Linked DNA regions of Anolis sagrei. The protein of the gene in region 1 interacts with the protein of each later gene in a pairwise test. Links are inferred from orthologs where the notes say so. Each region holds a gene or a part of one and is shown on either strand. Other genes may lie near its edges.

Region 1 (7,945 bases):
GGAAGGGAAGTAAGAGAGGAAGGAACGATGGACAGAGGAAAAGAAGGAAGGAAGGGATGGAAGAAGGAGAGGGGAGGGACAGAAGAAGGAAGGAAAGACCAAGAGGGAGGGAGAGCACAGCAGTTGAGGATGCTTGCCATAGATGCAGGCGAAACGTCAGGAGAAATGCCTCTAGAACATGGCCATATAGCCCGAAAAAACCCACAAGAACTGAGTTTCCTCCCTATTTCCCTATTTGGAGAAAATATAACAAAAGGTGCCATTTTCCATCTGGCCACAGGATGGCGACAAAGTGGACTCAGCAGGAGCCCTCTACTGCTAGGCTGCACTAAAAGGGTGCAATTCCCGAGTTGGCCACTGGATGGCAGCAAAGAGACATGCCATTAAGGCATTGCAGGGCTCAGGATGGGCCTCCTTCTGCACTGTCTGGGGATGATGGGACCTGTTGTTGTTTCAACTCCCCAGGTAAAAGGATCAAAGGAAACGGGTCCCTCCATTGGGAAGGAACTGACCAGAAACCCGCCCAGCAACTTACGTGTATTTCCTGGTGAAACACCTGGAAATAAATCCATGCTCATCTTGTCGTTCTTCGTGTTTTCCTGAAAGAGACGGAAGGAGAGAACGTAAACAAACCCCACATTTGGACACAGACCTATTCTTACATTTTATTATTGGCTTATTACATATTATTTTAATATATATTATTTTATAATATAACATTATATTATTATATATTTTTATATTATTGTTGCTTTAGTTTATTGTTGTTATATTGTGACTGTATTAATGCAATCGCAATCGTATAAAGCAATTATAATGTAAAGTAACAATAATTTATAATACTACAAAATAAAATAATATAAAACATAGTAAAAACAGGATGCAAATAAATCTATACTAGTATTACTATTAAACATAATTTATCAATCAATCAATCAAAACCTAATGTTTGAAAAGACCCCAAAGACTACCCTATCTATCTATCTATCTATCTATCTATCTATCTATCTATCCATCCATCCATCCATCCATCCATCCCAGCATTGGAAGAGACCCTAAGGGCCATCCCATCCAATTCCCTGTATGTATGTATGTGTCAGTTTGCCTCTCTCATAGATAGATAAATAGACATAGATAGATAGATAGATAGATAGATAGATAGATAGACAGAGGGATGGATGGATGGATGGACGGATGGACGGACAGATAGACAGATAGAGGGATAAACAGATAGATGAATGGATGGATGGATAGATGGATAGACGGACAGACAGACAGACAGACAGATAGATAGATAGATGGATGGATGGAGGGATAGACAGACAGATAGATAGAGGGATGGGTGAGTAGGTAGATAGGATGATAGATACATAAGAAGATAGATGGGAAGATATACACATACAAGTAGTTGGACTCTAGTTGGATTCTATGATAGATGGATGGCTAGATAGATAGATAGATAGATAGATGTATACGTACATACAGAGGGTTGGATAGATAGGTTAGTAGCTAGGTGGATGGATAGAAAGATATCTAGATGCAGAAGGTTGGACTGGATGGCCCTTGGAGTCTCTTCCAACGTCACGATTTTATGATGGATGGGTGGATGGATAGACAGATAAATAGATAAGTGGCAGGTGGGTCAGTGGGTACGTAGGTAGGTGGATGGATGGATGGATGGATGGATGGCTAGATAGATGGATGAATGGATGGATGGATAGAGGGATAGACAGAGGGATAGATAAAGTGGTTGGGTGGGTCAGTGGGTAGGTAGATAGATAAGTAGATAGATAGGATGATAGATACATGCGAAGATACAAACATACACATACAAAGTTGGACTGGATGGCCCTTGGGGTTCCTTCCAACTAGGATTCTTTGATTGATTGATAGATAGATAGATAGATAGATAGATAGATAGATAGATAGATAGATGGTGGATGGATTGATGTATTGATGGATCAATGGATCAATGGATCAATAGATAGACCAATAGATAGATAGAGCGATGGATGGATGGATGGATGGATGGATGGATGAATGGATGGATGGATAGATAGAGATAGATAGATAGATAGATAGATAGATGGTGGATGGATTGATGTATTGATGGATCAATGGATCAATGGATCAATAGATAGACCAATAGATAGATAGAGCGATGGATGGATGGATGGATGGATGGATGGATGGATGGATGGATGGATGAATGGATGGATGGATAGATAGAGATAGATAGATAGATAGATAGATAGATAGATAGAGGGATAGAGGGATAGAGGGATAGAGGGATAGAGGGATGGGTGGGTAGGTAGATAGGGTGATAGATACATGGGAAGATAGATAGATGGGAAGATATACACATACAGGTAGTTGGACTGGATGACCCTTGAAGTCCCTTCCAACTTCAGGATTCTAAGATGGATGGATGGGAAGATCGGCACATATACATACATACAGAAGGTTGGACTGGGGGGCCCTTGGCTCCCCTTCTAACTCTAGGACTCCCTGACCCACCAGCCCCCTATTCAATCACTGCCTTGGCCGAGGGTGGGGCTGGATGCCCTCCTGGGCCCCTTTCCTTCCATCCTTACCGGTGATCTCCACCACGCCGTCCTTGGTCTTGACCAGGAGCTCCTCAGGGGCGAAGTGGTTGACGTCGAGGGCCACCTTCCACCCTTCGGGGGTCTGCCGGATCTCGGAGACGCCGCTGCTGAGCTGCCGGCTGAGGGCCCGGCTGTAGGCCGGATGGGCCCCCGGAGGGCCAGCGCTGGCCGGAGTGGCCGGCTCGGGGCTCTGGATCATGGGGCGGACGTAGCCCGGCCATCCGCTGCTGCTGCCGGCGGGCCACCTATACCAGTCATCGGGGACCATGGGCATCCCGAAGGCCTGGTCGAAGAGGCGGCCGCCTCGGTACCAGTCCCGGAAGGGCTCCCAGCTGGGGCTGCGGAGGAAGGTGAAGGGCACCTGGCGCTCCGACATGGCCAACGCTCCTTTGTCCGGCCGGGCCAGCTGGCCCTTCTCATCCAGAGGCAAAGGGCTATTTTGGGAGAAGAATGTCTCCTTGTCTATTAATGGAAATGGCGCTCCCAGGAATGGAGCGGGAGGGAAAGGCCTTTTTTGGACTGCGGGACGGGCCCTGGCATACGGAGCGGGAACGGGGACCCCGAGGGCCATCTAGTCCAGCCCCATCCTGAAAAGATGGACATTGCAGGACCATTGCATACAACAAAGCGCTCTGAAAAGATGGACGTTGTGGGATCATTGCATACAATGGGAAGAGACCACCAAATCCTTCCCAAAAGATGGCCATTGTTGGGACCATTGCTTAGAATTACAGAGCTGGAAGGGTCCCCCAAGGGTCATCCAGTCCACCCCCATTATGCTCCCCTAAAAGACGACCATTGCATACAATGAGAAGAGACCACTAAAGCCTTCCCAAAAGATGGCCAATGTGCAACCACTGCATACAATGGGAAGAGACCACCAAATCCTTCCCAAAAGATGGCCATTGTGCAGCCACTGCATACAATGAGAAGAGACCACCAAATCCTTCCCAAAAGATGGCCAATGTGCAGCCACTGCATACAATGAGAGGAGACCACCAAATCCTTCCCAAAAGATGGCCATTGTGCAGCCACTGCATACAATGAGAGGAGACCACCAAATCCTTCCCAAAAGATGGCCATTGTTGGGACCATTGCATAGAATTCCAGAGCTGGAAGGGACTCCCAAGGGTCATCCAGTCCAGCCCGATTCAGCTCTACACCTAAAGCACTCTCAAAAGATGGCCATTGTGGGACCATTGCATACAATGAGAAGAGACCACGAAAGCACTCCCAAACGATGGCCACTGTGCATAGCATTACAGAGCTGAAGGGACCCTGAGGGTCATCTAGCCCAGCCTGTTTCAGCCCTACAACTAAAGCACTCCCGAAAGATGTCCATTGTGGGACCATTGCATAGAATTACATCTCTGGAAGGGGCCCCCAAGGGTCATCCAGTCCAGCCCCATTCAGCTCTACACCTAAAGTACTCCCGAAGGATGGTCATTGTGGGATCATTGCATACAATGAGAAGAGACCACTAAAGCCTTCCAAAAGATGACCACCATTGGACCATTGCATGGGATTCCAGAGCTGGAAGGGACCCTTGAGGGTCATGTAGTCCAGCCCCATTCCGCTAGGCAGGAAGAGACCACCAAATCCCACCAATTGTTGGGACCGTTGCATAGAATTATAGAGCTGGAGGGAACCCCTGAGGGTCATCTAGTCCAGCCTCAAAATGCCTACACCTAAAGCACTCCCAAAGATGGCCATTGTGGAGACCATTGCATAGAATTACATATTTGGAAGGGACCCCCAAGGGTCATCCAGTCCAGCCCCATTATGCTCTACACCTAAAGCACTCTTGGCGTTGGGACCATTGCATACAATGAGAAGAGACCAAAAGATGGCCACTGTTGGACTATTGCATAGGATTCCAAAGCTGGAAGGGACCCTCGAGGGGCATGTAGTCCAGCCCCATTCAGCCAGGCAGGAAGAGACCACCAAATCCCTCCCATTGTTGGAACCATTGCATAGAATTACATATCTGGAAGGGATCCCCAAGGGTCATCTAGTCCCACCTCATTCCCAAAGATGGCCATTGTGGGGACAATTGCATAGAATTACAGATCTGGAAGGGACCCCAAGGGTCATCCAGTCCAGCCCCATTATGCTCTAAGTACTCTTGAAATATGGTCATTATGGGACCATTGCATACAATGTGAAGAGACCACTAAAGCCCTCCCAAAAGATGGCCACTGTGGGACCACTGCATAGGATTACAGACCTGGAGGGGACCCCTGAGGGTCATCCAATCCAGCCTCATTCTGCCGAAGAAGAAGAGACCACCAGATCCCTCCCACTGTTGGAACCATTGCATAGAATTCCAGAGCTGGAAGGGACCCTCGAGGGTCATCCAGTCCAGCCCCATTCCGCCAGGCAGGAAGAGACCACCAAATCCCTCCCATTGTTGGAACTATTGCAGAGAATTCCAGAGCTGGAAGGGACCCCCGGGAGTCATCTAGTCCAGTCTCATTATACTCTACACCTAAAGCACCCCTGAAAGATGGCCATCGTGGGACCATTGTATACAAATGAGACCACCAAATCTCTCCCATTGCTGGGACCATTGCATAGAATTACAAAGCTGGAAGGGTTCCCTGAGGGTCATCCAGTCCACCCCTATTCTGCCGGGCAAGAAGAGACCACCAAATCCCTCCCATTGTTGGAACTATTGCAGAGAATTACAGAGCTGGAAGGGACCCCCGGGAGTCATCTAGTCCAGTCTCATTATGCTCTACACCTAAATCATTCCTGAAAGATGGCCATCGTGGGACTATTGTATACAAATGAGAAGAGACCACCAAATCTCTCCCATTGTTGGGACCATTGCAGAGAATTACAGAAATGGAAGGGACCCCCGAGGGTTATCTAGTCCAGCCCCATTCCGCCAGGCAGGAAGAGACCACCAAATCCCACCCATTGTTGGGACCATTGCATAGAATTATGGAGCTGGAAGGGTTCCCTGAGGATCATCCAGTCCAGCCCCATTCTGCCCTATACTTAAAGCACTCCCGAAAGATGCCCCCCCAACCTCTGTTGAAGGACAGCCTAAGAGACTCCCATGAGCTCGCCCAAATGTCAGTCCAGAGCAGACCAGTTCACCTCCAAGGATTGAAAGACCTTTTGGGAGGTGCCAAGCAGAACGTGGCACAGACCGAGCGAGGGGAAAGAGGAGGAGAGAGCGGGGCACCAGAGGGACTATCCTTGGTGTTTTTGGGAAGCGGAGAGCGGGATCTCTCTTGCTCCGGCCGTGAGTCACTGTCCGCCAAAGGGACCGGCTGCCTCTTCTCTGAGGTCATCATCCTTCTGAAGGTCCAGGCTCTGCGGGAACATTCTTGGCCGGGACTCTAATTTTCCTTCAAAAAAGCAAGACTGAGATGGATTAGAAGGGACCCCAAAGGCCATCCAGTCTATCCTTTGTAGCTATGTGTACTTTCCGACCTGTCAGTCATGGGACATTCGATCCAACCGCCCTGTTTTCAAACGTAGTGACAGAGTGTCTCACCAAAAACAGAGGACACGGCCCCGACAAAGATCCCATTACAATCGATCGATCTTGTATATTTTATTATAATTGAATCAGCTCATGGGAATCTACAACTGAAGTCGCGGCCGGAAGAAAGGAGAGAGAAATAAAAGAAGGAGAGATAGATAGATAGAGAGAGAGAGAACGTTGTTGTTGTTCCGACTGGCTATCATTTGCAGAGACGGCGACGAATAAACAAATGCTCGGAAGACTGAAAGAAATGTCCCTGATGGGAGAGGCCCCCAAAGGCCATCCAGTCCAACCCCCTTCTACCACAAACGACACCGTTTGATCCCTCCGGACAGATGGCCATCCAGCCTCTGCTTAAAAACCTCCAAGAATTGAGACTGTCCTCATATTCCGGTGCCATTCAAATCCATGGCTCCATTTGTCCTCATATTCCGGTGCCATTCGAATCAATGGCTCCACTGTATCCTCGTCTACAGAGTATCTGGACACTCAATCCTTACTGATGCAGCCTAGAATTGCATTGGCCCTTTTCGCTAGGTATATTATTATCGTCAAGCTATAGCTATATTGGTTTGTTGTGTGTTTTCTGGGCTGCATGGCCATGTTCCAGAAGCATTCTCTCCTGATGTTTCTCCTGCATCTTGTGAGGTCTATGGCTCATCTATGGCAGGCATCCTCAGAGGTTGTGAGGACCTCACAACCTCTGAGGATGCCTGTCACAGATGCAGGTGAAACATCAGGAGAGAATTCTTCTGGAACTAGGCCATACAGCCCTGAAAACACACAACAAACCAGTGATTCTGGCCATGAAAGCCTTTGACAATATTACTTTCCTCCATTTAGACTCCGATGGATGCAGCCTGGAATTGCATGGACCTTCTGAGCTGCTGCATCCCAATCTTGGCTCGTCTTCAGTCATATATCTCAAGCCATGGCTATATTACTTTCCTCCATTTGGACACTAGACCCCGACAGATGCAGCCTTTCAAGCTGCTACATCCCACTCGTGGCTCGTTTTGAAGCCTTGCAGGAACAGGACGCTTTTGGGCATCCAACGTTGCTTCGGATCTTCTCACCCGACTGGTGAAAGCTTTCCCCGAATCCCACAAAGTTCTCCAAAGTCACTTGAGACTGTACGGCTTTCACCAGAGTCTATATTTCCAGAGTGAACCGGTTTCTGTCAGCAATACGGTTCCAGAGATGCTTTGTGGGTTCCTCCTAGATCGCAATGTCCCTATTTGCACGTTCTTCTTCTCTTCCTCCTCCTCCGACCTTCCTGGATTCCCCCCTCCCCAATTGTCTCCACTTGAGATGCCTATCTCTGAACTGTATCCTTCCAGAATGTTCTTCCCCTTCTTTCCAGACACCCCCCACCCCCAGCCCTGAAAATAAGTTTAAGTACAATCATCCGGGGGGAGGATATATATCAAAACAAGCCCAGTCGATAGATCAAAACAATGACAATAAACATGGTTGGTCAGCCTCCTCTGAAGCTGAAAGTAGAGTTCTGTGAGCTACGTTTGTTTGGGGAGGAAAAAGAAACAGAGAAGGGGGGGAAAAGAGGAACATAAATAAATAAATAAATACATAAATAAATAAATATATAAATAAGTAAACAAACAAGTAACCTCCTCTTTCTCCCTTTCTCCTCTCCCATTTTCCTAACTTAGCGAGCGGAGTTGAGTTTCGTCCATTTGTTCGGAAGGCAAAAGATTTCTTCATCCCGTACTTCACCCTTCCCTACCTTTGTCGTTGGTAGAAATGAGTTTTCAACCTTGTACAAAGCAGAGAAGAAAGCAAGAAAGAAGAAGAAGAAATAGAGGAGGAGGAAGAGACGGAG
Region 2 (6,861 bases), on another chromosome or scaffold:
CGGTGTCGCGATTTCGCACACCATTTTGCAGATAAAGTCGCCCAGATACGCCTCGAGCTCGACTCCAATTCCATCGCAGTGCCAGAAGAGGTGACGGAGGCACCTGCTTGTCTAACTTTATGGGATTCTTTTAGGCTTGTTCTTCCTGAAACCGTGGAGGAGATCCTTGGGGCTGTGAGAGCGACCACCTCATCCCTGGACCCATGCCCATCCTGGCTCATTAAATCAGCCAGAGGGGGGTTGCTTGACTGGTTTGTACCGATTATCAATGCATCGTTGGAGCAAGGAATTTTTCCATCTAACCTGAAGCAGGCCGTGGTTCGCCCACTTATCAAAAAAGCTTCCCTTGACTCCTCGGTGCTGAATAACTACAGGCCGATCTCCAACCTCCCCTTTTTGGGTAAGGTGCTGGAGAGGGTGGTCGCCTCTCAGCTCCAGGGTTTCCTAGACGATACCAACTACCTAGATCAGTCACAGTCTGGTTTCAGGCCTGGTCATGGCACCGAGACAGCCTTGGTCGCCTTGGTGGATGACCTCCACAGAGAGCTGGACAGGGGGAGTGTGACTCTGCTGGTTCTCTTGGACATCTCAGCGGCTTTCGATACCATCGATCATGGTATCCTTCTGGGTCGTCTCTCCGGGATGGGCCTTGGGGGCACGGTTCTGTCGTGGCTCCAGTCCTTCCTGGAGGGACGAACTCAGATGGTGAAGCTGGGAGATGCCTGCTCTGACCCCTGGCCTTTGACCTGTGGGGTCCCGCAAGGCTCTATTTTGTCTCCCATGCTTTTTAACATCTACATGAAACCGCTGGGAGAGGTCATCCGGGGTTTTGGAGTTGGGTGCCATCTCTACGCAGATGACACGCAACTCTACTACTCTTTTCCACCTAATTCCAAGGAGGCTTCTCAGGTGCTAGGTGAGTGCCTGGCCGCTGTGTCGATCTGGATGAGGAAGAACAAGCTGAAGATCAATCCCGACAAGACAGAGGTCCTCCTGGTCGATCGTAAACCGGATCGGGGTATAGGGTGGTTACCTGTGTTGGACGGGGTTACACTCCCCCTGAAGCCACAGGTCCGCAGTTTGGGTGTCCTCTTGGATTCCTCGCTTACACTTGAGGCTCAGGTGTCGGCGGTATCCGGGAGGGCCTTTGCGCAACTGAGACTTGTGCGCCAACTGCGACCATACCTCGTGAAGGCTGATCTGGCCGGGGTGGTCCACGCCTTGGTCACCTCTAGAATGGATTACTGCAATGCGCTCTACGTGGGGCTGCCCTTGAAGACGGCTCGGAAACTTCAATTGGTCCAGCGGGCAGCAGCCAGGATGCTAACCGGGGCTCATTATCAAGAGAGGTCTACCCCTCTGTTTAAGGAGCTCCACTGGCTGCCTTTTATTTTCCGAGCCCAATTCAAGGTGCAGGTGCTTACCTACAAAGCCCTAAACGGTTCGGGACCACCCTACCTGCGTGACCGCATCACCATCTACGAACCCACACGCTCGTTACGGTCATCCGGAGAGGCCCTGCTCGTGATCCCACCCACGTCGCAAGCGCGCTTGGTGGGGACGCGGGACAGGGCCTTTTCTGTGGCGGCCCCCAGACTTTGGAACGCCCTCCCAAAAGATCTCAGACAGGCCCCCACTCTAGCCGTTTTCAGAAGGAATTTAAAAACTTGGCTGTTCCGTTGTGCCTTCCCAGACTAGAAATCCCCACCTAAGTCCTAGTAGCACCTTAGCATAATAAATTGTCGCTGCACACTGCACTTTCAACCTTACGTGCCTCCTACCATTTCAGCACTTTTAACCCTTGTACCCCATTGCGCCGGCCGAACCTGTTTTAATAATGTCCTGACGTTCTGCCATTGTCGTTATTTGCTTATTTGCTTACTGTTGATTTGCTTAGTTATTGTGGAGTTATGATATTTTGCTTACTGTTTGATTTGCTTTGTTATTGTGATGTTACGTCCTTTATTGTATTGTGTTTTGAGGCTTCGGCCTGTGTAAGCCGCATCGAGTCCTTCGGGAGATGCTAGCGGGGTACAAATAAAGTTAATAATTAATAATAATAATAAATAATTTGTATTTCTAGGTGCAAAGATTACTGCAGACGCAGACTGCAGCCAGGAAATCAGGAGATGCTTACTTCTTGGGAGGAGAGCAATGTCCAATCTCGATAAAATTGTGAAGAGTAGAGACATCACACTGGCAATGAAGGTCTGCATAGTTAAAGCAATGGTATTCCCCATAGTCACCTATGGATGTGAGAGCTGGACCTTAGGAAAGCGTGAAGGAAGATAGATGCTTTTGAACTGTGCTGTTGGGGGAAAGTTCTGAGAGTGCCTTGGACCGTGAGAAGATCCAACCAGTCCATACTTCAGGAAATAAAGCCAGACTGCTCATTGGAGGGAAGAATAGTAGAGGCCAAGATGAAGTACTTTGGCCACATCATGAGAAGAAAGGAAAGCTTAGAGAAGATAATGATGCTGGGGAAAATTTATTTATTTATTTATTTAGCAATTTTGTATACCGGTCTTCTCCCCTCTATCAGGGGACTTGGGCCGATTTCCAACAATAAAATCACAAAACAATAATTAAAAACATCATATAACATATTCAATTAAAACGTTATAACAGCAAAATGCAATCACATAATAACAATGGTCAGTCGTCATAGTGAATTTGTTGTCCATCATTCATCATCATCTATCCAATCACAGAAATATTGATTCACTCATCGAAAGCCAAACCCCATAGCCAGGTTTTCACCCGTTTTCTGGATGACAGAATGGAGGGGGCAGTTCTGAACTCCAGTGGGAGAGAGTTCCAGAGTCGAGGGGCCACCACCGAGAAGTCCCTCGTCCCTCGTCCCGACCAGACGCGCCTGAGAGGCTGGTGGGACCGAGAACAGGGCCCCTCCAGACGATCTTAACAACCTAGATGGTTCATAGGGGAGAATACGTTCGGACAGGTAAACAGGGCCGGAGTCGTTTAGGGCTTTATAGGTTAACACCAGCACTTTGAATTGTGCTCGGAAGCTAATTGGCAGCCAGTGGAGCTGGCGCAACAGGAGTAGTATGCTCCCTGTACCCTGCTCGTGTTAGCATTCTCGCTGCCGCACTATGGACTAGTTGGAGCTTCCAGGCAGTCTTCACAGGCAACCCCACGTAGAGAGCATTGCAGTAATCTAAACGGGATGTAACCAAAGCGTGGACCACCGTGGAAGGAAAAAGGAAGAGGGGCCGACCAAGGGCAAGATGGATGGATGGCATCCTTGAAGTGACTGGCTTGACTCTGAAGGAGCTGGGGGTAGTGACAGCTGACAGGGAGCTCTGGCGTGGACTGGTCCATGAGGTCACGAAGAGTTGGAAACGACAGAACGAATGAACAACAATAATAAATAAGGAGCGAACCAAATAGTTGTATTGCATTTTAAAAACACAAAACCCCCCACAAAGTTTGCAAACTTGGCATTCTATTATTTATTATGGTCTGCTGTGGACTCATCTTGTTGTGTCTCAAATAATAACAAATAATAGAATGCCAAGTGTGCGAACTTTGTGGGGGTTTTGTGTGTGTGTGTGTTTTTAAAATGCAATTCAACTGTTTGGTTCGCTCCTGGCACGATAAATGACCAAATCAGCTCCGGCCTGACTTTGGGTCGCCGTCCCCCTTCATGGGCGCTCAAGAGGGAAGAGGGAGGCTTGGCTTCTCCTTGAGCGGCGAGGCGGGGGGCGGTCCCGGGAGGCGCGCTCCGTCATAATGGAGCGGAGAGCGGCGGGTGGCGAGTAATAGCCGCCGTGACAATAATCCTAGTGGCGGGAGCGTGACTCAAGGAGGAGCTGTGAGGCGAGGCGCCCAGAAGTTTCCAGCCGGGCAGCTGCTGCTCCTCCTCCCCTGTCTCCTCCTCCTCCTCTTCTCCTCCTCTGCTATTTCCAGACCCTTCCACCCCCTTCGCCGTCCCCTCCCTCTCTCTCCCTCCGAGCCATAAAGGGGCTTGGCGGGTGGGGCGGCCTCGCTTGCTTGCCCAGTGCATGGCTGGCGAAGGAGGAGGAGGCGCCGCAGTCGCAGCAGCAGCAGAAGAGGCAGCAGAAGAGGCAGAGCTAGGAGCAGGGACAGCCGCTCTCGCAACAGTAGCAGCAGCAGCACCACCAGCAGCAGTAGGATGAGCGCGGCGGCGCAGTCCCCGGCGTTGCGGCCGACCGAGGCCGGTGGGGCGGGCGAGCGGGAGCCGCTACCGCCCGGTTGGGAGGTGAAAATCGACCCGCAGACCGGCTGGCCCTTCTTCGTGGACCACAACAGCCGCACCACCACCTGGAGCGACCCCAGGCTGCCGCAGCAGGGCGACCACCGCAAGGTACACACACAAACCTCCCCCCAGGCCGGCTTCCCGTCCTTATTAAAGACGCGAAGAGGCTCCGATGAGGACTCCAAGGGCAAGGGGTTTCGCCCCAGACTCGCCTTGAGTGGGGAAACTCCACCAGAGGGAAAGGGAGGCGGGGAAACAGGCTCAGAGAAACTTCCTTTGGGAAATGTCATTTTGTAGCGACTTCTTCTCAACCCAAACATGACCCCAGAGTCTCCCCCTGGCATACAACTCCTCCCCAACTTGCTTTGACCTTTCTATGTCTTGAATGGAATTAGTTGTGACATTTGGGAAAGAACCTTGCTTAGTACATTGTAATTACTTGCCTTCTTTGCCTTTCATGGCTGGCCTTTCACTTACTTGACAGGTTTTTCGCTCACTACTTCATCACACTAGAGAATGAATCCACTTTAAATCCAGTTTCTGCCTCCTGCAGAATTCTGGGGTTTGTAGTTTAGTGAGGCTGTTAAAGAGTCCCCCCAAACTACCAATCCCATAATTCTTCAGGAGGAAGCAACCAGATTTAAAGTGGATTCATTCTCTAGTGTGATTAGGTCCTTACTTGTCTTTTTTACCTTTATAACTGGCTTTTCAGGGCCCTTCCACACCCCTATATCCCAGAATATCAAGGCAGAAAATCCCACAATATCTGCTTCAAATTGGAATATATGGCAGTGTGGACTTGGATAACCCACTTCAAAGCAGATATTTGTGGGATTTTCTGCCTTGATATCCTGGGATATAGGGCTGTGTGGAAGGGCCCTCCTCACTTGTCTTCTTTACCTTTATAACAGGCTTTTCAGGGCCCTTCCTCACAGCCATATATTCCAGAATATCAAGGCAGAAAATCCCACATTCCCTTCTTTGAACTGGAATATTTGAACTGCGTTATCTGAATCTACACACTCAGATAATGTGGGATTTTCTTCCTTGATATTCTGGGATATCAGGCTGTGTGGAAGGGCCCTCCTCACTTGTCTTCTTTACCTTTATAACAGGCCTTTCAGTTACTTTGCCTTTTGCTTACTTGATTTATTTACCTTTATGACAGGCCTTTCACTTCTCTTATTTGCCTTTATAACTGGCCTCTCAGGGCCCTTCCGCACAGCCCTATATCCCAGAATATCAAAGTAGAAAATCCCACATTCCCTGCTTTGAACTGGAATATATGGCGGTGTTGACTCAGATAACCCAGTTCAAAGCAGATATTGAATTTTCTGCCTTGATATCCTGGGATATAGGGCTGTGCGGAAGAGCCCTAAGTTACTTCTCTTCTTTGCCTTTCACTTACTTGATTTATTTACCTTTATGACAGGCCTTTCACTTCTCTTCTTTGCCTTTATAACTGGCCTTTCAGGGCCCTTCCACACAGCCCTATTATCCCAGAATATTAAGGCAGAAAATACCACAATATCTGCTTTGAACTGCGTTATCTGAATCTACAAACTCAGATAATGTTGGATTTTCTGCCTTGATATCCTGGGATATAAGGCTGTGTGGAAGGACCTTCAGTTACCTGATTTCTTTACCTTTGTGACAGGCCTTTCACTTCCTTGCCTTCATGACTTGCCTTTCACTTACTTGATTTATTTACCTTTATGAAAGATTTTTCAATTACTTGCCTTACTTTGCCTTCGAGGCTGGCCTTTCAGTTACTTCTCTTCTTTGCCTTTATGGCTGGCCTTTCAGTGACTCGCCTTTTCTTACCTTAATGGCTGGCTTTTTACTTCTTTTTTTTACTTTTTTTTTTTGGCCTTCATGGCTGGCCTTTCACTTACTTCTCTTCTCTGACTTCATGGCTGACCTTTTGCTTACTTGCCTTCTTTGCCTTCATAGCTGGCCTTTCAGTTACCTTAGTATCTTTACCTTTATGACAGGTTTTTCATTTCTTTGCCTTCATGCCTGACTTTTCAGTGACTTGCCCTTTTTTACCTTTATGGCAGGCCTTTCAGTTACTTCTTTGCCTTCATGGCTGGCCTCTCAGTGATTTGCCTTTTTTACCTTTATGGCAGGTCTTTCAGTTACTTTTTTGCCTTCATGGCCAGCCTCTCAGTGATTTGCCTTTTTTACCTTTATGGCTGGCTATTCAGTGTATTTACTTGCCTTCTTTGGAGGTAAAGGTGAAGGAGATTGAGGAGGGAGGACTAAACGTGGGGCAGTGATGTGTGTGTGTTTTGAGGGAACCCACTTCGGGCCCTTCTGGCCCTATATCCCAGGATCTGATCCCAGGTTTTCTGTTTATCTCACATTATCTGTCAGTGCGGACTCCTATAAGCTGGTTTAAAGCAGAAAACCTGGGATCAGATCCTGGGGTATAGGGCATTTATTTTTTGACCCCCAAAGTTGAGTGCCTGGGAGAAACATGACCCTGATTTCTCCTCACAGGTTTCAGAGAGTAGACCAAGATCCTTGAGGCAGACTTCGTGAGTTTGTACGTGAGGGGAGTGTGTGCCTATGGCCCAAAGTATCTTTGTGTGTGCAAAGCTTTGTTCACTCCCTTCTCT
Region 3 (7,305 bases), on another chromosome or scaffold:
CTTGGTCATGGGGGTTCAGTGTGGGAAGTTTGCCCCGAGTCTGTCATTCGTGGGGTTCAGAACGCTCTTTGATTGTAGGTGAACTGTGAATCACAGTGACTACAACTCCCAAATGTCAAGGTCTATTTCCCGCAAACTCCATCTGTGATCATATTTGGGTGTAATGAGTGCTCGTGCCAAGTTTGGTCCAGATCCATCATTGTTTGAGTCCACAGTGCTCTCTGGATGTAGGTGAACTACAACTCCCAAACTCAAGGGTAAACTATAAATCCCAGCAACTACAACTCCCAAATGACAAAATCATAATTTTTGAGGGATGGTCACTCCTTGTGTTGTGAGACGTTTTCTTGCCAAATTTGGTGTGATTTCGTTCATTTGTTCTTTTGTTTTTAAGGTACTCATTATGCACAGAGCATTTATATATATATAAATAGATAATACTGTTACAACATTATTAATATTATATATAATATATTAGCATTATTACATTCTCACAGTCCATTCTCCACAATCAAAACACCAACCCTAAGTAGGGGATGAAGATAGTAGTAGTAATGATGATAATACAAATAATATAATATCTTAAGTTGTAGTATATATAACAGACATGGGCAAACTTCGGTCCTCCAGGTGTTTTGGACTCCAACTCCCACAATTCCTAACAGCCTACTGGCTGTTAGGAATTGTGAGAGTTGAAGTCCAAAACACCCAGAGAGCCTAAGTTTGCCCATGTCTTATATATGAGATATAATGTTACATTTTTAATATTATATATAATATATTAGCATTATTTATTTATTTATAATTCAAACTTATATGCCGCCACTCCCCTGGGGCTCGGAGCTTACAAGAACAGGCTAAAATCTAACAAAATTTAAAAACAATTTAAAAACAACAACAACAACATTTTCACAGTCCATTCTCCACAATCAAAACGCCAACCCTAAGTAGGAGATGAGGATAGTAGTAGTAATGATGTCAATACTACTAGAATCATAGAATCAAAGAGTTGGAAGAGACCTCATGGGCCATCCAGTCCAACCCCCTGCCAAGAAGCAGGAATACTGCATTCAAATCACCCTTGACAGATGGCCATCCAGCCTCTGTTTAAAAGCTTCCAAAGAAGGAGCCTCCACCATATATTATACTAATAATATAATATCTTAAGTTGTAGTATATATAACAGACATGGGCAAACTTCGGCCCTCCAGATGTTTTGGACTCCAACTCCCACAATTCCATTGTGAGAGTTGAAGTCCAAAACACCTGGAGGGCCGAAGTTTGCCCATGTGTTATATATAATATACAATGTTATATTTTTAATATTACATGTAATATATTAGCATATATATAAGTCCAAAACACCTAGAGGGCCGAAGTTTGCCCATGTCTTATATATAACATATAATGTTACAATATTATTAATATTATTATATATAATATATTAGCATTATTACATTCTCACAGTCCATCCCCCACAATCAAAATGCCAACAATTCCTGAATTGTGAGACTTGAAGTCCAAAACACCTGGAGGGCCGAAGTTTGCCCATGTCTTATATATAACATATAATGTTACAATATTATTAATATTATATATAATATATTTGCATTATTACATTCTCACAGTCCATTCTCCACAATCAAAACTCCAGCCGTAAGAAGGGGATTAGGATAGTAGTAGTAATGATGATAATACTACTACTAATAATAACAGCCGGTAGCCTGGGCTGAAGTTTGCCCATGTCTTATATATAATATATGTTATATTTTTAATATTATATGTAATATATTAGCATATATATAAGTCCAAAACACCTAGGGGGCCGAAGTTTGCCCATGTCTTATATATAACATATAATGTTACAATATTATTAATATTATATATAATATATTAGCATTATTACATTCTCACAGTCCATTCCCACAATCAAAACGCCAACAATTCCTGAATTGTGAGAGTTGATGTCCAAAACACCTAGAGAGCCGAAGTTTGCCCATGTCTGTTATATATAATATAATATATATATATATATATATATAATATTGTTAGGAATTGTGGGAGTTGAAGTCCAAACACCTGGAGGGCCGAAGTTTGCCCATGTCTTATATATAATAAATAATATTATATATTATATAATATATTATATTATAATATATATATATATATATATATATATATAATATTATATATAATATATTAGCATTATTACATTCTCACAGTCCATTCCCCACAATCAAAACACCAGCCCTAAGTAGGGGATGAGGATAGTAGTAGTAATGATACTACTACTAATAATAATAAACATGTCCTCTCCCCTCCGCCCCTTTTACCATAATGCTAATAATTCTAATATATAATGGTAATATATTAGCATTATTATATTCTCACAGTCCATTTCACACAATCAAAACACCAGCCCTAAGTAGGGGATGAGGATAGTAGTAGTAATGATGATACTACTACTAATAATAATAAACATGTCCTCTCCTCTCCGCCCCTTTTGCAAAATGTCAGGGCTTTGCAGGGCAGGGATGACAATGAGGATGAGAGCCACAATACCAACTGCACAACAGGCCTCCTTCCAGGCCCGGGCCTCTCCTTCTGGAAGTCCCCCAGCATCCACTCACCCCGCAGGAGAGAAGAGGGCGCGACTCCGCCTTCCCGAAGCGAGGCGAGGAGGTCTAGGCCAGACCGGGCCGGGCCGAGCCAAGCCGGCCTCGCCTCAGTTCATTCGACGACGACGACGGCGACAGCGGCTCCTCCTCGCGGCTCCTGAGGGGGAACCGAGCGCTCATCTCTCCAGCCGCTCCGATCCCTCTCCCCCTTCCTCCTCCTCCTCCTCGTCCAGGCCCCACTCCCACGCGACCCTATTTCCTTTCCTCTTCCCTTCGCTCAATTCCCTCAGGCAACCAAGCCAGCGAGGGGCGGGGGGAAAGAGGGAGGGAAAAGAGCCTTCTGCGCACGCGCAGAAGGGGAGAGCAGGGGGCGCGCGAGTGACGGTTGAGAGGAGAGGAACGACGTCAGGGCGAGGAGCGCGCGCCCGCCGAGCGTGGGCGTGTGCGCATGCGCGAAGGAGTGCCTCCTCTCTTCCCTCCTCCTTCTCTAAAGCACACTTTTGCGGGTCTCGCCTCAGAGGCAGAGCTTGTGCGCTTGCGTGAATTAGGTCTCTTCCTATTAAACCACAGCCTTGGCATGTGCGCATGCGCGGAATACTCTTTTTTTTCTCTCTCTCCCTTCTCTAAAGAAGTAGGTCTCTTCCTATTAAACCAGAACCTTGACATGTGCGCATGCGCGGAGTACCCTTCTCTCTCCCTCCTATTAACCAGAGCCTTGACAAGTGCGCATGCGCAAAGTACCCTTCTCTCTCTCTCTCTCTCCTATTAAACCAGAGCCTTGACATGTGCGCATGCGCGGAGTACCCTTCTTTCTCCCTTCTCTAAAGCACGGCTTTGCAGGCCTCTCTTCTGAGGCTGAACGTATGCGCATGCGCGAACGAGTACATCTCTCTCCCCTCATTTCTATTACACCAGAGCAGCTCGCCTCTCCTCTGAGGCTTGGCATGTACGCATGCGCAAAGGAGTACATCTCTCCCTATTAAACCGCTCGCCTCTTATGCGCATGCGCGAAGTAAATCTCCCTTCCTCTCCTCATTTCTATTACACCAGAGCAGCTCGCCTCGCCTTTGAGGCTTGGCATGCGCGCATGCGCAAAGGAGTGCATCTCTCCTATTAAACCGCTCGCCTCGTATGCGCATGCGCCTCTCTCCTATACGTGTACGCATGCGCAAAGGAGTACCCCTCTCTCCCTCTGCTCTTTCTCTCCTTTAAAGTACAGCTTTGCAAGCCTCGCCTCTGAGGTTGGATATGTACGCATGCGCCGAATGCCTCTCCGCCTCTCTCTCCCTCCCTTCTATAAAAGCTCACTTTGCGAGACTTTCCTCTGAGCTTGGGCATGTGCGCATGCGTAAAAGAATCCCTTCCCCCTCGCTCTGTCCTGCCAGAGAAGTTCGCGCATGCGCAGAAAGCCTCTCTCCCTCCCTTCTAAAGCTCACTTCGCGAGCTTTTCCTCTGAGCTCGGACATGTGCGCATGCGTAAAAGAATCCCTTCCCCCTCGCTCTGTCCTGCCAGAGAAGTTCGCGCACGCGCAGAAAGGACTGGAGGGGAGCGTCAATCCGAGCACGCGTGCGCAGAAAGGAGACAGCCATCGCTCGTAGTAAGAATGGCGGCGCGCTCCCGTGTTATGCACTCTCGCCATTTGAGGTTGACGTCAGCGCATGCGCAATGCTTCCGCCAATCCCTCTGATTGCACGTAGGCACGCGAGCGCGCTCCCGTGTGCTGCTGATCCTCCTCCCGCCCCCCTCCCCTCGCGCTCTATGGTAACCGCTGTAAGGGGTTTTGCAGCTGGCTTTGGTGCAGCGCGAGGGAAAGAGCCCGGATGTTGGGTGGGAGGGGGAAATGGAATGGAGGGAGATGTGGGCGAAGTGTTTCGCTGAGGCAATTATTGTTATTACATCATTCCCGCTCCCTACTGCGCCTGCGCAGTTTAGGATGGCAGGAAAGATGAAAGAATGAGTGGCCTGAAGGGAATTATGGCTGCTGCTCTTCCATTTATGGGGTGCCATTAAATCTACACAGCACTTTACCATAAAACAACACGAAGTAGTAATATAATATATTGTATACATATATATTGATAATAATATTATATTGCAATACAATATCATAGAATCAAAGAGTTGGAAGAGACCTCATGGGCCATCCAGTCCTGCCAAGAAGCAGGAATATTGCATTCAAATCACCTCTGACAGATGGCCATCCAGCCTATGTTTAAAAGCTTCCAAAGAAGGAGCCTCCACCACACTCCGGGGCAGAGAGTTCCACTAGTAAACGGCTCTCACCGTCAGGAAGTTCTTCCTCATGTTCAGATGGAATCTCCTCTCTTGTAGTTTGAAGCCATTGTTTCGCGTCCTAGTCTCCAGAGAAGCATATAATATATATGGGTTGTTGTAGGTTTTTCCGGGCTATATAATTTATATAATTTTCCGGGCTATATAATTTAGTGCAATCTGGTAATGGAACATAGGAATGGAACAATGGACGACGAATCTGTACTACGCTTGGATGATGAGAAGATTGGGTACGGTTGTTTTTTGTAATAATTGTGCATTGTAATTGCTTATTGGTAATTTATGGATAATGTGTTAAGTCAATTGTTATATGTTGTATGGAACCACTGCTGTTTCTACTGTTTTTACTGTTTGTGAACCGCTGTGAGTCGCCTTCGGGCTTGAGATACAGCGGTATATAAGCAAAGTAAATAATAATAAGTAAATAAATATATGGCCATGTTCTGCAGGCAATTTTTCTCCTGATGTTTTGCCTGCATCTATGGCAAGCATCCTCAGGCGAAACATCAGGAGAAAAATTGCCTCCAGAACATGGCCATATAGCCCGGAAAAACCTACAACAACCCATGGATTCCGGCCATGAAAGCCTTCGACATATAATATATATGTTGGGGTTCAGCCTGATCCTGATCTGTGTGAACCAGATTCTCTGATAGTTTTTCCAACTGAGCAAGCTCTCCCTGACCCTGACAGTGTGGAATCTGTTGTTGATGTTGAGGTCAGCGGCGATGAAAATGAAACTCAACAGCTGGAGGAAAATGTTTTGGAAGCTAGCCGTGATATCTCTCCACCTGGGGTTTTTAATGAGGACCGAAGAGAACAGATAGTTAGAGACAGAAATGTTTCACAGTTTCTACGAAGGTCAAATCGTTTACAGGAGAAACAGGCCCAGGCTTCAAAGTCAAGGGGCGTTTCAAAGAATAGCTTCTTTGGTTTAAGGGGCCTCCTGCCGGGTGCCTCTTTAGATCAAGCAACGTTTGGGACTGTGGCTGTGCCTTGGCAGAATTCCTGTGTTCCATGGCCAGTAATCCCAGAGGCTTCTAGTTATCAAATTCATGGTCAGTAAAAGGCTAACAGGTTCCTGGTTCTTGTATTGTGGCTTTTGAAATTTTGCTCAAGTTCAGAGATTCTACTGACTGCTGTGTTTTTTCTGTGGCTTTTTGACTTTGCATTTACCTTTCTTTTGTAACCAATTTTTCATCAATAAACAAGGATTGCTTTTCCTACAGTCCAGTGTGATGGATTTAATCTTATGGTCTCGTTTCTTGATCTGGGATGCAACAATATAATATAAAGGAAGAAGGAGAAAAGAAAGAAGGGGATAATGGTTCAACCAGCAATTAAACCGGCGTCAACCGTAACATAACTAGTCAACAAACGTTGTTGTTCATTTGTTCAGTCGTCTCCGACTCTTCGTGACCTCATGGACCAGCCCATGCCAGAGCTCCCTGTCGACCGTCACCACCCCCAGCTCCTTCAAGATCAGTCCAGTCACTTCAAGGATGCCATCCATCCATCTTGCCCTTGGTCGGCCCCTCTTCCTTTTACCTTCCACTTTCCCCAGCATAATTATCTTCTCTAGGCTTTCCTGTCTCCTCAACAAACATACCAGTTGTATACCAGCTGTAATTATCTTTTGTAACAATCTGGAAAGGAAGAGGAAAGACAATGTTATTTTGCAATTGATAGATGCTTTTGAACTGTGGTGCTGGAGGAAAGTTCTGAGAGTGCCTTGGACAGCGAGAAGATCCAACTAGTCCATACTTCAGGAAAGAAAGCCTAACTGCTCACTGGAGGGAAGAATAGTAGAAGCCAATCTGAAGTACTTTGGCCACATCATGAGAAGGAAGGAAAGCTTAGAGAAGACAATGATGCTATGGCAGCATTAAGAGCAAACCCATCAGAGATTTGTGTTTCCTGAAAACAGTCCCAAGTTGCTAAGATGGTCAATAAAACATTATAAAAAGTCAGTCACAAAGTCTAGAAAGCATAAAGCCAAAAGACAAAACAATGTATACATGTATTGTATTGTCAAAGGCTTTCATGGTCGGGATCACTGGGTTGTTGTAAGTTTTCCCGGGCTATATGGCCATGTTCTGGAGGCAATTTTTCTCCTGATGTTTTGCCTGCATCTATGGCAAGCATCCTCAGAGGTAGTGAGGTATGTTGGAAGTAGGAAAAATGGGTTTATATATCTGTGGAATGACCAGGGTAATGTTTCACCTGATCACCTTGGTTTGCATTCAGTGGCCTGGAAGCGCCTGGGGGGGATCTCTTGTTGAGAGTGATTTTATGTGCCTGTAGGTTTCCCCTCTGTTGTTTTGCTGTTGTAATTTTTGAGTTTTTTAATACTTAATGTTTTATTGACCATTTTTCCTACTTCCAACAGACCTC
Region 4 (7,257 bases), on another chromosome or scaffold:
GCAATAATTTCCATCCACTATATTAAACAAAGAGGAAACATAATTGATTGATCTTTGTTCAGTCCACTAGACACAATAATCTGTTATATTTCATCACAATTTGCCCCAAAATCACAAAATTTCTGCCCTAGAAAGCTCAATTCCTCATCTTATTGTGTTTGTTTTCTTGATTTAACAAATGACACAAGACTTACAATTACATACTAGACGTTATTTTCATACTAGGAAATTGCCTTTTCATTTCTCCATCCCTATCAGCTAAACATTTTCATTGGGATCCTACAGGAGCATACAAAGCATAATGCTTTCCCCACACAGAATAGTCTGTTGCTCTCCATCTAATAAAGACAATAGTACATATAAATCACATTAATGTAAAAATGATGTCAGTATGCATATCGTATAAATCTAACTTGAGTTGATAATATGGTCCATTATCAGCTACCTGCACAAAGTATTTTTCATTTCATTTTACACTCTTCAGTTACTTTTGAGTGAAGTATTGAAAATGTTAAGCTTTTCTTCTTTTTAAAATGGCATGCTGTTTGCCTATTCTGCTAAAAGCAGGATATCTGTCTCCTACTTTTGGTTCTTGGTTGAAATGCAAAGTACCTTTCTTATACCATTTTAAGGATGGCTCCCTTATTATGCCACTTTAAAGGACAAAGGGCACACTCACCATTGAATCTCACTGCTCTGACAGCTCCCTGTTTACATTCCAGTGTAGCAAACAGTTTCTTTGGAAGCTCAGGCTTTTTGGGCTTGGGCTCTGGAAAGGCCATGGCAAATACAAGTAACTTCTGGTATGCAAGAACGTATTCTCCTCTATTATTGATGTTGCAGCTACAGTCACAGCATGATCTCAGACACCAGGAATATCCCCAACTGATTGATATGATTCGATTGCTTCTGCTTCTGGTTATTTATTCTCTTCAGAGTGACACCACCTGGTTGCAGAATAACAAATGCAAAGAAATCAGTTTCCAAGGGCCATACTATTCAAACAACTAGCTTCCTCACAATGGTGAAACAAATGGAGAATCCATTCTGATTACAAAGTTGGATCATCATACAAAGGTAAGCACCAATTGCCTAAGTTGCTGCCATTCTTACAGCCTACCCACACACTGCAACTATTCTGATTTGACAGAGACAGCCCCAATTAATCCTGTTATCCCACTTTCTTATTTAAAAATTGTTTCTTTCTCCTCCTTTGTTTTAGCAAAGTTCAAACTACAAAACTATGTAATTTGCACATAATTCACTCAGAGGAGGGAGAAGCGTTAGAAATATACCCCTTTGGAGCCTTTTTATAAATACTCTGATTACAAAATTTTGAAGCAGAAAATTTTATAAAATATACCTGCAGGCAGATGCATCTTTTTAAAAAAAAAGATAGACAAAGATGCACATACACAATATAATGAAGTTCATATTTAAATCCCCCTTTCTCCATACCTCACCCTTGGATCACATCAGAAGCACTGTCAAAAGAGCCTTTGATAAATCACATTTCCTCTGACACATGGCCAGCCTACAGCCGTATATGGAGTTCCTTCCTTCAAGTGTCCTTTGGCATACTGGCACATCTCTCATGCTTAGCCCTTAATATGATTTTAATTATTTCAACTTTAAGTGGCTGAGTCCATTAGTCCCTTAAACTTAAGTAACTGATCTCATCAGTTCTTGAATCTTCAACTCTTCTAGCATTAACAGTCTGCTTTTATCCAAATCTAATTTCTTTCTTTGCTTCACCTGCATTTAGCATCAATTATGATCAATTATTCACTTTTCTGTAGATTGTCTGTGTAACATCTGCTGCTCCTGTATCTATATTTAAGTTGTCAGCTACTCTACAGACAGACTTTTTTTGGTTGTTTTTTCGTTCAGTCACTTCTGGCTCTTTGTGACCTCATGGACCAGCCCGTGCCAGAGCTCCTTGTCAGCTGTCACCACCCCCAGCTCTTTCAAGCTCAAGCCAGTCACTTCAAGGCTACCATCCATCCATCTTGCCCTTGGTCGGCCCCTCTTCCTTTTCCCTTCCATTTTCACCAGCATCATTGTCTCCTCCAAGCTTTCCTGTCTTCTCATTATGTGGCTGAAGTACTTCATCTTTGTCCTTAGGAGGAGTGAGCAGTCAGGCTTTATTTCCTGAAGTATAGACTAGTTAGATCTTCTCGTGGTCCAAGGCACTCTCAGAACTTTCCTCCAGCACCACAGTTCAAAAGTGTCTACCTTCCTTCACTCAGCCTTCCCTATGGTCCAGCTCTCACATCCAAGTTACTACAGGGAATACCATTGCTTTGACTATGCAAATCTTTGTTGCCAGTGTGATGTCCCTACTCCTCACTATTTTATTGCTCATTGCTTTCCTCCCAAGAAGTAAGTGTCTTCTGATTTCCTGGCTGCAGTCTGCGTCTGCAGTAATCTTCATTCCCAGAAATACAAAGTCTGTCACTGCCCCCATGTTTTCTCCCTCTATTTCCCAGTTATCAATCATCCGGATGCCATAATCTTGGTTTTTTTAATGTTTAAATGCAACCCAGCTTTTGCACATTTTAAATCCTGACTGATTTAAAATGCAAACATCAAACTTAAAAGTAAAGAAAGGATTATGTGAAAAAAATGACTTTGAAAGTATTTGGAGAAAATTTCTAGAAAAGGCAAAAGGAAAAAGAAAATGGGAATTTACCTCCCAGTGAAGAACTGAACTTTTGGTGGAACTTTAAAAGAAAAGATGGCTCTGGAGAAGAGGAGCACAAGGGTGAGTGTAAATAAAAGAGAGGGGAGTGTATAGTACATGTCTATATAACTGGGTTTTTTTCTCAAAATAAAAAAATATTCTAAAAAATAAAAAAAAATGCCACAGCAAGAGATTCAAGTGTGTCTGTGTTACTCTTCCTCTTAAGCCGCCTCCTCCACTCCAAGTTACCTTTGAATTCGAGGGGAGGCAGCGAGTCGGAAAAGCTCCTGCCATTTCCACAGGGTCCGCTCCGTTCTGCCTTTAATGTCTCCCAGGATGCCTCTCCGGGGAAGAGAAGCCTGTCTCGCCTAACCGGAACACAAATGCGCGGGACTCGGGGTGCGGCATCCTTAGTCTTCCCCCGTGAGGAGAAGCGGAAGCTGGAGTGGTAAAGGAAACCCGCCTTCCCTGAGGAGCCCTGAGACGGGCCGCGAGGGTGGGATGTCCAGCAACAACATGGCGGACCCGCGGCGGCCCAACCGCGTCCTAAGGTCAGATAGTGGGGGTCAGGGGTCGCCGGGACACGAAAGGGGTTTCAGTCTCTTAGGAGGGGCCGCTGGGGCTCGCGCCGCCCCCTCCGCGCGGCAGGCCTGAAGGGTCACTATGGCAACGCCTGGGCGCGCGCGGCCTCTCCTTTACCACCCAAGCAGAGCTGGCCCTCTGAGGCGCTGGGCAGAGTGCGAGGCGCCAGGGAAAGCGGCAAGGACGTTGGGCGCCTGGGCCGAGCCCGAGGGCCGAAGGACATCCCCGCCCCCAGGCAGCGTGGCCCGCATTTCCCAGGGGGTGCTCTCGGGCACAAGGCCTGGCAGGAACTAGGAGGGAAGGAGACGCTTGGCCTTGTCGCGCGGGAATGCTTTCAACTGCCTTGATTCCCACACTCTCGCCCTCCAGGTTGTGAGCCTCGGCTCCCAGGAGCCTCAGCTACTTGGGCCAATGAGTGGAGTCTCTGGGAGCCGAAGTCCAAAAACCTCCGGCCAGCCAGAGCTTGAGAAACTGCTTCAAAATAATAAATGTGTTTCAGCAAGTTAGGAGCCCCCAGTAGCGCAGTGGGTTAAATCCCTGTGCTGACAGAACTGAAGACCGACAGGTCGCAGGTTCGAATCCGAGGAGAGGACGGATGAGCTCCCTCTGTCAGCTTCAGCTCCTCATGCGGGGACAGGAGAGAAGCCTCCTACAAGGATGGTAAAAGCTTCAAAACATCTGTCCCCTGAGCAACGTCATTACAGACAGCCAATACTCTCACACTAGAAGCGACTTGCAGTTTCTGAAGTGGCTCCTAACAGGACAAAAAACAAAACAAAACAAGCAAGATGGACCCGGTTTGAAATGGCTGTTTCTCTGCAACCACCAACCACCCCTGAATGACACACTCACCTCCTGAAAAAGGTTGGGCAGAGAGTTTCAAAGGGATTAATTACGTCATGAATAACTTCTGCTATCTTGATGGCATTCTATCTTAATACTTGCATATTGCAAGTGGAGCCCCTGGTGGTACAGTGGGTTAAACCACTGAGTTGCTGAACTTGCTGACTGAAAGGTGGTTCAAATCCAGGGAGCAAGGTAAGCTCCCACTGTTAGCCCCAACATCTGCCAACCTAGCAGTTCAAACCTAGCAGGAACCCCTCGATGCACAATGGGTTAAAACCTTGTGCTGGCAGGACTAAACACTGACAGGTTGGAGGTTCAAATCCAGAGAGAGCATGGGTGAGCTCCCTCTGTCAGCTTTATCTTCCCATTCAGGGACATGAGAGAAGCCTCCCACAAGGATGGTAAAACATCAGAACATCTGAGCGTCCCCTGGGCAACATCCTTGCAGACAGCCAATTCTCTCACACCAGAAGGGTCTTGCAGTTTCTCAAGTTGCTCCTGACACACTCACACACATACACACAGCCAGCACAGTGATTTGTTTGCTGTGTACTAATCCTGTTGTGTATCAAATAATAATCATAATAATAATAATAATGTATTTGTTACTTGCCTCTCTTTGTGGCTCAAGGTGGGTATGACTTAGGTAAAAGAGTGATGTAGAACAAAGAACTATCGAAATACGTACAACAAATACAGGTAAAATGCAGCTTAAAATTTCTCAAGTCACTCCTGACATGAAAAAAAAAGTTCAAACACATGTAAAAGAGTAAATTAATAGGTACCGCTCTCACGGGAAGGTAACAACTGCGGTCCATGCAGTCATGCCGACTACATGACCTTGGAGGCATCTATGGACATCACCGGCTCTTTGGCTTATAAATGCAGATGAGCACCACCCTACAGAGTCAGTCATGACTAGACTTAATGTCTAGGGAAAACCTTCATCTTTACTATACTTCAAGTGCATACATTCACAATGGAGGACCTTCTTCCAGCGACACTAGAGGCACTCTGGTCAAAGGAATTTTAGCATAATGACAAGTTTTTAACTTTGTTAGTGGTTTTTTATACATTATAACTGTATTCTCAATTTTCTTCTAACACGATAAATAAAACTGCTAGATGCCTCTCCCAGCACTAGCCCCAGTCATCCATGAGATAGTGACCCCGCAACACCAGGCCTAATGAGATATTCTCCATTTTCAGTTATTATTTTTTTACATTTGTTTCTGGTTCAAAATGGTTAGTAACAATTGATGACTCATTGCCATTTGTAACTTTTTGTGTGATTGTAACATGTTGCCATCCTGGAATATACTGCCTTGCAATTGGGTCCATAGTTTTTGAAACACCCTGTAAAATTGGGAGATTTGCCCTTCAGGATAGATTAGATCTGTCCATGCTAAACTTGTAGCGTAGCAGCAGGCTGTTGCTGATGTGATGTACAGGAGAGGCCTTCATAGAAATGAAAGAATGGAATTACTCAGTTCTGAGATGGGCAGCTCAGGATCGCTTGGTGTTTAGATGCTACTTACTACTGGCTGCATTGAATTAAGTTGATTGTTCAGTGACATCTGGGGCAGCAGGTGCCCACCCTTATCTTGCCCAACCCGTTCCTCAATGTGGACTCTTCAGTGCAAGATGTCATACAGTCATCCTTTTTTTTCATGTCAGGAGCAACTTGAGAAACTGCAAGTCGCTTGTGGTGTGAGAGAACTGGCCACCTGCAAGGACACTGCCCAGGGTATGCCTGGAAGTTTTATCATCCTGTGGGAGGCTTCTCTCATGTCCCTGGATGGGAAGCTGGAGCTGACATATGGGAGCTCACCCTGGTCTCCGGATTTGAACCGCTGATCTTTTGGTTAGCAGTCCTGCTGACACAAGAGTTTAACCCATTGCACCACCAGGAGCTCCTGTAATCCTGACAGATGGCTGTTCAGCCTCTGGCATGTTCACCTTTATTGGCTTTTTATGAAAACAACATTCCAGTTAAGTAAAGTAGCTAACTTTCTGTAAAATACAGTTTCAAAGAGTTTGCATGTGAACAATTTGTGTTAACATTCATTAATCATATAAATATTAGTATAAATTATGAGATCATGATTCTATATTTTACGTATATGGTTTTTAATCTGTTGATTGATATGTGTTTTAATTGCTTATATAATTAGATTCTGATGATGATGATAATGACGACGATGATGATGATGATGATGATGATGATGATGATGATAATAATAATAGCAACTTTATGTTTATACCCTGCCTCCATCTCCCTAAAGGGACTCGGGGCAGATTACAAGGGGCAAGCCTGAAAAAAACACAGATTAAAACATAGTGCAGTAAGTAAAGTCAAAAACAATATCAAAATATCAGAAACAAAATAAAACACATCACAATAACACAGCACAACATCATAAAAGCAATCCCTAGGCCGATCAGTAAAAATACTAATCTCAGAGGGCTAAGAGTTTCTGCAATAGTTTCTGGATAGGGCTAAGGGAAAGTGCAAAATCCAATAGAAGTTAGGACTGGAAGAGTAATGTCATTTGGCATAAAAATGCCAGGGCTATAGGGCACAGGGCAGAACTAAAGTACAGGAGCTGTTGGTAAGTTACAGTTATATTTTGATGAGATGTGTTTTGTTGCTTAGCTGTGTGGCATTGAATTTTTACCAGATCTGTAAGCTGTCTTGAGTCCCCTTTGGTGTCAAGAAAAGTGGGGTAGAAATGAAGTAAATAAATAAATAAGAAATGAGTGTAATGTGGCAATTTTATCCATCCATCCATACACATACAAACAAACATATGTTATACAATCTTATTATAAGCAGAGAATGTGCTATTGGTGTCTTGGTCTTTAGTTCAACGTTATTGCAGATAATGTTAATATTTTATTTTCCATCCTGATTTAATGCTTTCTCCCCCCACTCCATAATTTCATTTGTAGATACAAGCCTCCATCCACAGAGAACAACCCAACCCTGGAAGACCCTACACCTGACTACATGAATCTTTTGGGAATGATTTTTAGTATGTGTGGCTTGATGTTGAAGGTGAGTAGTGACCAGTAGTGGCAAATTGCCCATCCCCCACTCACCCGTTCACTTGTTCACCTGTAGGACATCATATTGTAGTAATAAG

What was found.
Region 2: the proteins of HSPB1 (region 1) and BAG3 interact in binary tests that used the Homo sapiens proteins (3 or more experiments, as listed by UniProt). The link is inferred for Anolis sagrei from reciprocal best matches to the Homo sapiens genes HSPB1 and BAG3.
Region 3: the proteins of HSPB1 (region 1) and PPM1A interact in a two-hybrid assay, tested with the Homo sapiens proteins (2 studies listed by BioGRID and IntAct). The link is inferred for Anolis sagrei from reciprocal best matches to the Homo sapiens genes HSPB1 and PPM1A.
Region 4: the proteins of HSPB1 (region 1) and WDR83 interact in binary tests that used the Homo sapiens proteins (3 or more experiments, as listed by UniProt). The link is inferred for Anolis sagrei from reciprocal best matches to the Homo sapiens genes HSPB1 and WDR83.

What each region holds. Positions count from the first base shown.
Region 1 is NC_090031.1:32,940,599-32,948,543, forward strand, and holds the start of HSPB1 (heat shock protein beta-1), read right to left. Parts: upstream 3,008-7,945; 5' UTR 2,983-3,007; coding exon 2,595-2,982; intron 600-2,594; coding exon 536-599; intron 1-535. UniProt on the Homo sapiens protein: Small heat shock protein which functions as a molecular chaperone probably maintaining denatured proteins in a folding-competent state. Plays a role in stress resistance and actin organization.
Region 2 is NC_090023.1:202,041,426-202,048,286, reverse strand, and holds the start of BAG3 (BAG family molecular chaperone regulator 3), read left to right. Parts: upstream 1-3,854; 5' UTR 3,855-4,156; coding exon 4,157-4,348; intron 4,349-6,861. UniProt on the Homo sapiens protein: Co-chaperone and adapter protein that connects different classes of molecular chaperones including heat shock proteins 70 (HSP70s), e.g. HSPA1A/HSP70 or HSPA8/HSC70, and small heat shock proteins (sHSPs), e.g. HSPB8.
Region 3 is NC_090021.1:333,092,355-333,099,659, forward strand, and holds the start of PPM1A (protein phosphatase 1A), read right to left. Parts: upstream 3,010-7,305; 5' UTR 2,631-3,009; intron 1-2,630. UniProt on the Homo sapiens protein: Enzyme with a broad specificity. Negatively regulates TGF-beta signaling through dephosphorylating SMAD2 and SMAD3, resulting in their dissociation from SMAD4, nuclear export of the SMADs and termination of the TGF-beta-mediated signaling.
Region 4 is NC_090022.1:111,887,595-111,894,851, forward strand, and holds the start of WDR83 (WD repeat domain-containing protein 83), read right to left. Parts: upstream 3,020-7,257; 5' UTR 2,933-3,019; intron 2,744-2,932; 5' UTR 2,693-2,743; intron 948-2,692; 5' UTR 783-947; coding exon 680-782; intron 18-679; coding exon 1-17. Other genes in the region: WDR83OS (PAT complex subunit Asterix), read left to right, coding at 3,185-3,234, 7,064-7,169. UniProt on the Homo sapiens protein: Molecular scaffold protein for various multimeric protein complexes. Acts as a module in the assembly of a multicomponent scaffold for the ERK pathway, linking ERK responses to specific agonists.